Linked DNA regions of Rhinolophus ferrumequinum. The main gene of each other region encodes a partner of the protein of the gene in region 2 in a complex. Links are inferred from orthologs where the notes say so. Each region holds a gene or a part of one and is shown on either strand. Other genes may lie near its edges.

Evidence for each region.
Region 1: FLCN (region 2) and LAMTOR3 share a complex: the UniProt entries of both Homo sapiens proteins name them as parts of the lysosomal folliculin complex. The link is inferred for Rhinolophus ferrumequinum from reciprocal best matches to the Homo sapiens genes FLCN and LAMTOR3.

The regions. Positions count from the first base shown.
Region 1 is NC_046288.1:51,295,231-51,298,979, forward strand, and holds the start of LAMTOR3 (ragulator complex protein LAMTOR3), read right to left. Parts: upstream 2,433-3,749; 5' UTR 2,249-2,432; intron 2,218-2,248; exon of another isoform or gene 2,111-2,217; intron 1,957-2,110; 5' UTR 1,920-1,956; coding exon 1,911-1,919; intron 1-1,910. UniProt on the Homo sapiens protein: As part of the Ragulator complex it is involved in amino acid sensing and activation of mTORC1, a signaling complex promoting cell growth in response to growth factors, energy levels, and amino acids.
Region 2 is NC_046304.1:1,500,391-1,504,139, reverse strand, and holds the start of FLCN (folliculin), read right to left. Parts: upstream 2,476-3,749; 5' UTR 2,073-2,475; coding exon 1,959-2,072; intron 1,898-1,958; exon of another isoform or gene 964-1,897; intron 1-963. UniProt on the Homo sapiens protein: Multi-functional protein, involved in both the cellular response to amino acid availability and in the regulation of glycolysis.

The DNA.
Region 1 (3,749 bases), on a different chromosome or scaffold from region 2:
AATCCCTACTATTCTCCAAACCTGAATATTCATTTTATTCCATATTATCACTACCAGTTTACCTTTGCTCTCATTTTAAACACACACAAAAAAACCTCAACTCATCATGTTTCATCTGAAACCCAGATTTCCTCAATCTCTTTTCGTTTTCACTAATGGGACTACCAAACCCATTAATTCAGGTTTGAAACTAAGAGTAATACCTAACCCTAACCTCACGTTTGTCACTTTTAAATCACTTGTGAAGTCAAATGTTTTTAAACCGATCTCTTCTTCTCCTTTTCAACTGACATTACAGTTTATTTTCATTCTATTATTTACGACTTGCACTAGCTTCCTAGTTGGTATGCTGATCTCCCGCATCTATTCCATACAGGTCTACATGGTGTCAATAATCCTATTATTCTCCTTCTCTAAAACTGTAATTGTAGGGATTCTCAACCTTGGCTATGGATAACACGTGAAAAGCTTCAAAAAAAAAAAGGCCACTGTTGACTAGATGGCTAGGTTAGAGGTGCTCCCCAGATTACCACCTATTCAGCCACGGTTGAGAACAAATATTGAAATGGCTCTCCACTGTTCACTGAATTATGTACAAACTCTTTAGACATTTGAGCCTCTACAATATGGCCTACAACTAAGTTTACAGTTCTGCTTCCTACTGCTGTCTCACACAGATCCTCAGCCCTAGCTAAATTAAACTACTCACAGCTCTTCCATACACAACCTTTCCCTTTCCTATGTAATATTGTTCATGCTATTCATTCTACTAGCAATATTCTCCTTCTGAATCTTACTTTTTAAAACTGCTACTCATCATTTAGAGTTAACCTCAACCACCAAACACTCCAAATAGGTTTTCCTGATAGACACAAACCAGATGTAATCCCTCTCTCCTTTGAATTTTCACACAATAATGCATGCATATCTGATCATTTGTCTACTTTTTAAAACTGTAAAACCCCTAAGAGGAATTATACCATAGTCCTCTTCATTTCACCCACAGTCCTTATTATAACAACCTTTTGGCTGCTCAATAGATATTTAGTGATTTGATTATGCCTGAAGGATAATGTCTCAAAAACATAATGGAAGACACCCAAAAATGTAGTGATAAAGGCATGAAAGTTGCTTAATGTTGAAACACATAATCTTGCAACGTAAAAAGAAAAATCAGATTCATATTAATGCTGAATGACTAGCAAAATGGTTAAGTGCACTGACTCTGGAGCCAAAATACCTGGGTTGGTATTTTCACTCTTAGTACTAGAGTAACCTGAGGCAAGTTACTCGATCTTTCTGTGCTTTAGCATCCTTATCTATGACACAGGGATAATGATCATGCCTACCTCCTAAAGCTGAGAATGAGCGTATGTTCAATATTTATAACACTCAGGATGTACGTAAGCAAAGTAACATATGTAAAATATAAACATTAGTACTAGTATTAATTTCCCGCTGTTTCTAGTAACTAGAACAATTAAGTTCCTTAAACTTAGAATCTGGCTTTTACTGCTGTGCTCAAGACTTGTCAGTTGAAAAATCATCTCAAATGGCTCCAATGAACCCAGAAAGACATCATGACCACTTGCTGGGAAAAAAAAGGATTCCAAGCAGCAAAGCACCATTTAGAAATTCAAATGGTAAATATTCGGAGCCTCTTATGCCCGCAGGGCTGTGGAGTGAGCACGGGCACCTAAGTGTCCTACAGGCCCATGCAAGGCACAAACTCACGGCCCCAGGAAATCCATTCATATTAATCTCTAACTCCAGATCTTGGAGACAATAACTCAAGGTGTAGAGGGGCAAAAATAAAACAAATTTCTCTTTGGGAAGCACAATCTTTCCCCACCCAGTATGCTCCAAACTCCCCACCACTTGCTTCCTCTTGTGCGGGGGTGTTAACTCACATCCGCCATGACGAACCCCTTTCTCCCGCAGGTTCAATATCCACGCCTGAAAAAGAAACTCCTGGTGAGGAAATCTGGGTTTCAGCGGGGTCAGCTGTCATCAGGGTCAGGCAAGAATCCGCGGCTCTAGGCCTGGGACCAGAGAGATCGCAGGGAGACACACTGCCCAGATACCCACAAGAACAGCCGGGGTGCCTTACCTCAGCCCACTCCGCCTCCCCAGCCCCCAAGGTCTAAGCCCGAAATAAAGCGGAAGGGGCATCCTCTGCTCTTCCAGCTCACCGCCCGTAACACCCGCGGGCCCAGGCCTGAACACCGAGCAACGTGGCTCCAGTTACCCGGTTTCTGGGCTGCCCGGTTCTTTGGGTCGCAGGGCTCTGGGCTGCCTGCTGTCCTTCAGGGACAGCGTCAAAGACAGGTCTTTCTGAAAGCTGCCGTCACATGACTTACGACCTCCTCTCCGCTTGAAGCAGCACTTCCTACACCTCCAACGCCGGGTACCATGGGATTTCCGGGGACGCGCGGGGGGAACTGGGAGCGTGCGACTGTGCGTCGCACCCCGCCCCACCCCGCCCTCCCGCGGCTCTCCACAGGCTGCCTCGTGCGCCTGCGCAGACACCAGGTGTTGGAGAGAGGTTTCCTGTCAGGTTGCTGCGCTGTAAAGCTCCCCAGGAAAAGCATGTAAGAAGACATTTTTGTGCGGAGAGTGTATGAATTGCCTTAGTATTTCAGAGTCCGTTATCTTAAAACCTGTTCTTTTAGATCAAAGACTTTGAAGCTGAACAGCAAGCACCAGATGACACGTGATTAGAAGTCCCAGCTCCAAAGGTTCCAGACCCCGATTTCTCTTTTGGCTTTCCCGTTTGCCATCGACTCACTGCTCTTTACTCAAGGTTTTGTGTAGATTGAATTGAGGAGCCATCCTGGGTTTTCTGGAGTTCTCAGTTATGTGTGAACTTCAACATATGCAGCTGTTGGGTAACCTTTATTGGCTCCAATTAGAAGGCTGTGCCTGTAAAGACTTTCCATATTGTTTTCTGTTTGGTGTCTTGTGTGCACCTTTAGCAAAAACCTACAGTAGGTGGCAGGTAAATGAGGTCTACAGGAACTTGTTCAACACTGATCTTCAACTCCAATCCCCAACAGGAGTGCAAAAATAAGTAACTAGCTCAAGACACGGTGAAAAGAATTGGATACTTACTTCCTCGTTATTCCTGAGAAGATGAAATGGTAAACTACAAAGCTCCCACATATTACAAATAACTTCATTATTACAAGTGAATTTAACAGTTACGTAGCAACTGACATCACTGAAGACCACTTCCTTTTCCTCATTTAACCCCTTCGATTTCTTAGCTTCTGGGACACTGCTCTTTCTTATTTTAGGTCTTCACTTACTCTAGTTTCCTAACTCTTAAATGATGGCATTTAAAGCTTGTCTGGTTTCTCATCTCTGTTTTTCTAATTCCACAGTGTCCTGAGAATGTGAGTTCTAATTCTGCACCTTTCTTCTGAGTTCTAGGTTCACATTTTCAGCTGCTTGTTGGATGCTGGATAAATATTTCTACATACATACCTTACTGTCAACTCTAATTCAAAAGCTCTAAAGGTTCTCCAATAAATCTGTTCCTCCTGATGTATGTCTGTATTGGTTTCATAATTCTAGTTAGGTGTCACATTTGCTTTCCATCATGTTCTCTTTTCTTTCCTAACCATGATGCTTGCATCTCTATTTTTTCAATTCTTAGTTCACAGCATTTTTCTATTCCGCAAAACTGTATCAATATCTACTTAACGGCCAGATAGACCTTCTTAGAATACACATTACTGCTGCTCAAA
Region 2 (3,749 bases):
CCTCCAGAGCTTAGATGTGAGGGAGAGAAAGAGCTGGCAAGGGGGACAGAGAACGAAAGACAGTGAAGCAAACTCGGGTTACTCCAGAGACAAAGTGAGCAAAACAGAATCACGGGAGAGGCCGAGTCCTGGAGGAGGTCGTGGGGGCTGGGCCTGGGCAGCAAGTCAGCAGCTTGTCCGTCGCTGAGGGAGGGGATGGGGACGCAGACACGAGTGCCCTCTGGTCGGGAAAATCGGGCAAGGCTTTCCAGGTGGGAACATGTCCACGCGGCTGACAGGCAGGAGAGGTCCGGAAATGAGAGAACCCAGGAGCAAAGCCATAGATGTAGGACAGTGGCAGCCCAGCTGGCCTGACCCGTGTGACACAGAAGGGCCTGAAAGCCAAGCTAAAAAGGGAACGTGTATTCTCTAGACCCATGTTGTCCAATCCAGTAACCATGAGTCATGTGGCAACTTACATGTAAGTAAAATGAAAAGCCCCTTTCCTCAGTCTCACTGGTCACACGTGGCTCAGTCACCATTTTAAAAGGCCAGTGCAGATCATGGAACATGTGCATCATCACAGAAAGTTCTATCGGACAGCCTTGCTCAAAACAATGGGGAATCATTTAAGTTTCGGAATGTCTGAGGAGTGGACAGTGGCCAGGTTCTAAACCCTCTTCTCCTATGGGGACCCCATCCCCCGTTGTGGAGCCAAAGATCACAATCCTCTGTCCTCACCCCGTAAGCAGCACGGGCACGGCCGTGGCGCGGCCAGTCACAGGTGCCTGTCTGGGACGCTGAACCTCGAGAAAGGAGGCAAAGCAGCAGCCAGTGTGAACACGCACAGCAGGGATGGGGTGTCCCCTGGCGGACAGCACCCTCAAAATCTATTTGCACTGTGTCCCTGGATGTGCCTCCGGGCAGCCTCCCTGCTGCTGGCCCTGCTCACAGCCTAGCCTGCCTGCCCCCTGTGCCACCCACCTGATGTTTTGCAATCAACCTCTCAGCTGATGTGGGCAGGGGCTGACACTCAAGTGGTTACAGCAGGAATGGCAGAGGCCGGCACAGAACAGACATATGAAGAGAATGGCAGGTGTGCTGACAGCAAGTCAGGCCTAGCGATCAGACATGGGGAGACGGGTGGCTGGCAGGTACGGAAACCCGGGGCATGGGTAGATTGTTCTGCAGGAGGTGGGCAGTGGGAGAGAAGACAGAGTTTAAGAGCTGGGAGAACATGGGGTTGAAAGCCCTGCGAGTTCCGTGGAGATTCTGGACCGCAGGATCAGAGAAGGCAGGCCTGGAGAGAAAGGCCCTGAACACCCCCCACGGCCTTCTCCTGCCTCGCCCCTCCTCACCAGTCTGCGTCTCCTTGCGCGTCCCCTTCTAGGAGAAGCTCCCGGTCAGCCCACCCAGAAGAGCTGTCACCTCCCACTTCCAGCCCACCACTCGATGCCCGCCCCGCTGGATTCCAGTGGGATGAACGTCCCCAAGGGAGAGGCTTTGTGTTGTCTACAGCAGCTCCCAACACACGGGAAGGACCAAATCACTAGGCGTTGGAGAAACGAGGGAATTTAGAAGCTGCCCACAGAGAGATGACAGTTGTTGCCACAGAAGTGGAGAGCTCATCAAGGGTATCGACAGGCAGGAGAGGTTCAAAAACGCAACCCTGGGGAACCCGAGTCCAGGAGCCTCGTGTCACCAGAACCAAATAAACCAAATTGACAGAAAGGTTCCACGGGGCTCCTTACAGGGAGGTCAAGGAAAATAATGGTTTCAAATCCACTGTGGAAGAGGCGGTGAGGCAACCACTGAGGGAATAAGAACCTTGAAGACAGGTATTGGGACTCAAACTAAAGGCAGAGGAGTTCACCCTGGACAAGGGGCCACGTCTCCCTCGGAGAAACAAAGAAGAGAAATAAAGACGGCTTCGGGCAAGACGTCCACATGAAAGCAGCCCTGGGCCCAGGTCACCCCACCTGCAGCGCATCCATACGAACTTCTATCCTCAGCAGAACCACGTCCCTCATCCTGCCTCGGCTAGTGCATGCAAGGCCATTTCCAACTGAGTCAAGGAGGACAACGGCAGCCATACTTCAGCTCTAAGACCTGACATTTTCTAGGTAAAGAAAAAAAACCAGAGCTAATTCTAAGGGCAATGCACTTTGTGGCATGAAAAAAAGTTCAAGCAGCTTACAGCCAACCTCAAATTAGAGCAACACAAAAGAGGATTTGGGGGTTCCAGTGGTTCTGCATGGCTTAGCAGGCCTTTCTCTTTTGAGCAGTAGCTGACAGCAGGCTGACACTGCACACAAAGCCTTGACTGAAGTTACACCTCTATAGCAGTACTTCATAAAGGCTCTCTTGAAACATAGTTATATTTAAATATTTTTGTTAAATATGAAACATAAAAAAGTACAATGTAAGTCCTACTTTTGGTTATAAGGCAGTGGGGTACTCTAAATAACAATTAGCTCCGGAGTCCCACAGACCTTCTGCTCCCACAGACCTTCTGCGTTGGACAAAAGCCTGTCTCCAGCCCTTACCAGCCACATGATGTCAACACGTTACTTTACCTCTCTGAGCACCACCCTAAAGCTGAGAAACAGAGGGCCAAACCCCACCTCTCAGTTAGTGGAATCAAAATTCTGGGCAGCATGAGGTCACTTCTTTATTCATGCTCCCATTCCTGAAAAAAAACAATCTGGTTTGCGTATGCCTAACAGTTCTTCCTTTCCAACAAGCTTTCCAGAATATAAGGAAGAAGCAGAAACCTTCACCCATCCAACATTATACTCAAAGCAAGTTCTCAAATACCTAGAAGCAGCAGCGTCCTTCTTCGTGTCCGGCTCCCACAGTGGCTGAGCCTGACCTGGACGCTGATGTCCCAACCGTCCTCCCACTTCTGTGGTGCGTCCCCCCCCACCCCCCCTCTGCACCTATTTAAATCCCCACTTCCTGTGGTCTTCTCACAAGACCACAGAGGATTAAAGATAACAGTTAAGTATGAATACTCTGCAATTAACTGAGGTATTAAAATGGCTCTTAACCAGTGGTCTGCATCAGAATCCCCTGCAGCTTCTCTAACTAGTCTCCCACAGGGGAGCCTGTTGGGATTCCAGCAAGCCAAGGTGGAAAGTTCCACAGGGGATTACTTCCTGCTCAGACCCACTCACAGGGTGGCTCTACTCTATCTACCGACTTCACTTGGATTTCTGTTTACAGAGCTCCCTGACGTATAACACTGGAAGAGCCAACAGTTTCACATGCTACTTGTGCCACTATTACTCTTATTTGATGACACTGATAAAGTCGTGTGTCCATCATGTTCTTTGCTGTGACATGGAGTCCATCTTGCCACCCTGGAATGTCACCAGGGACTGGAGAACCAGTAGTTCCTTTCAGCAGCCCCTCCTTGCCCCCTGCATCCGATGGCTGCTGAGGACCCCCGTGCACCTCAACCCACAAGGAGCCTATCCCGGGGCTAAACGTTCTTCCAGGCAATAGGATGTGTCCGCCAACACCCACCCAACTGGAGACAAATGTCCTCTCCCCTCCCTGGAGAACACTGATCTGGGCCTGAAGCTCATCAGAAGGCCCCCCTCGGAATGTCTCCTGGGAAAGAAGGAATTATGACACACACCCTCACCCCTAAACCAGAGGTGAGGCAAAAACGGGGGATGGGGACGAGGGGCAGGCAAAGAGTGCAGCCTCACAGCAACGTTAAAGGAGAACAAATCCACGGTGCTGAACCCAGGTCACGTTTCTCA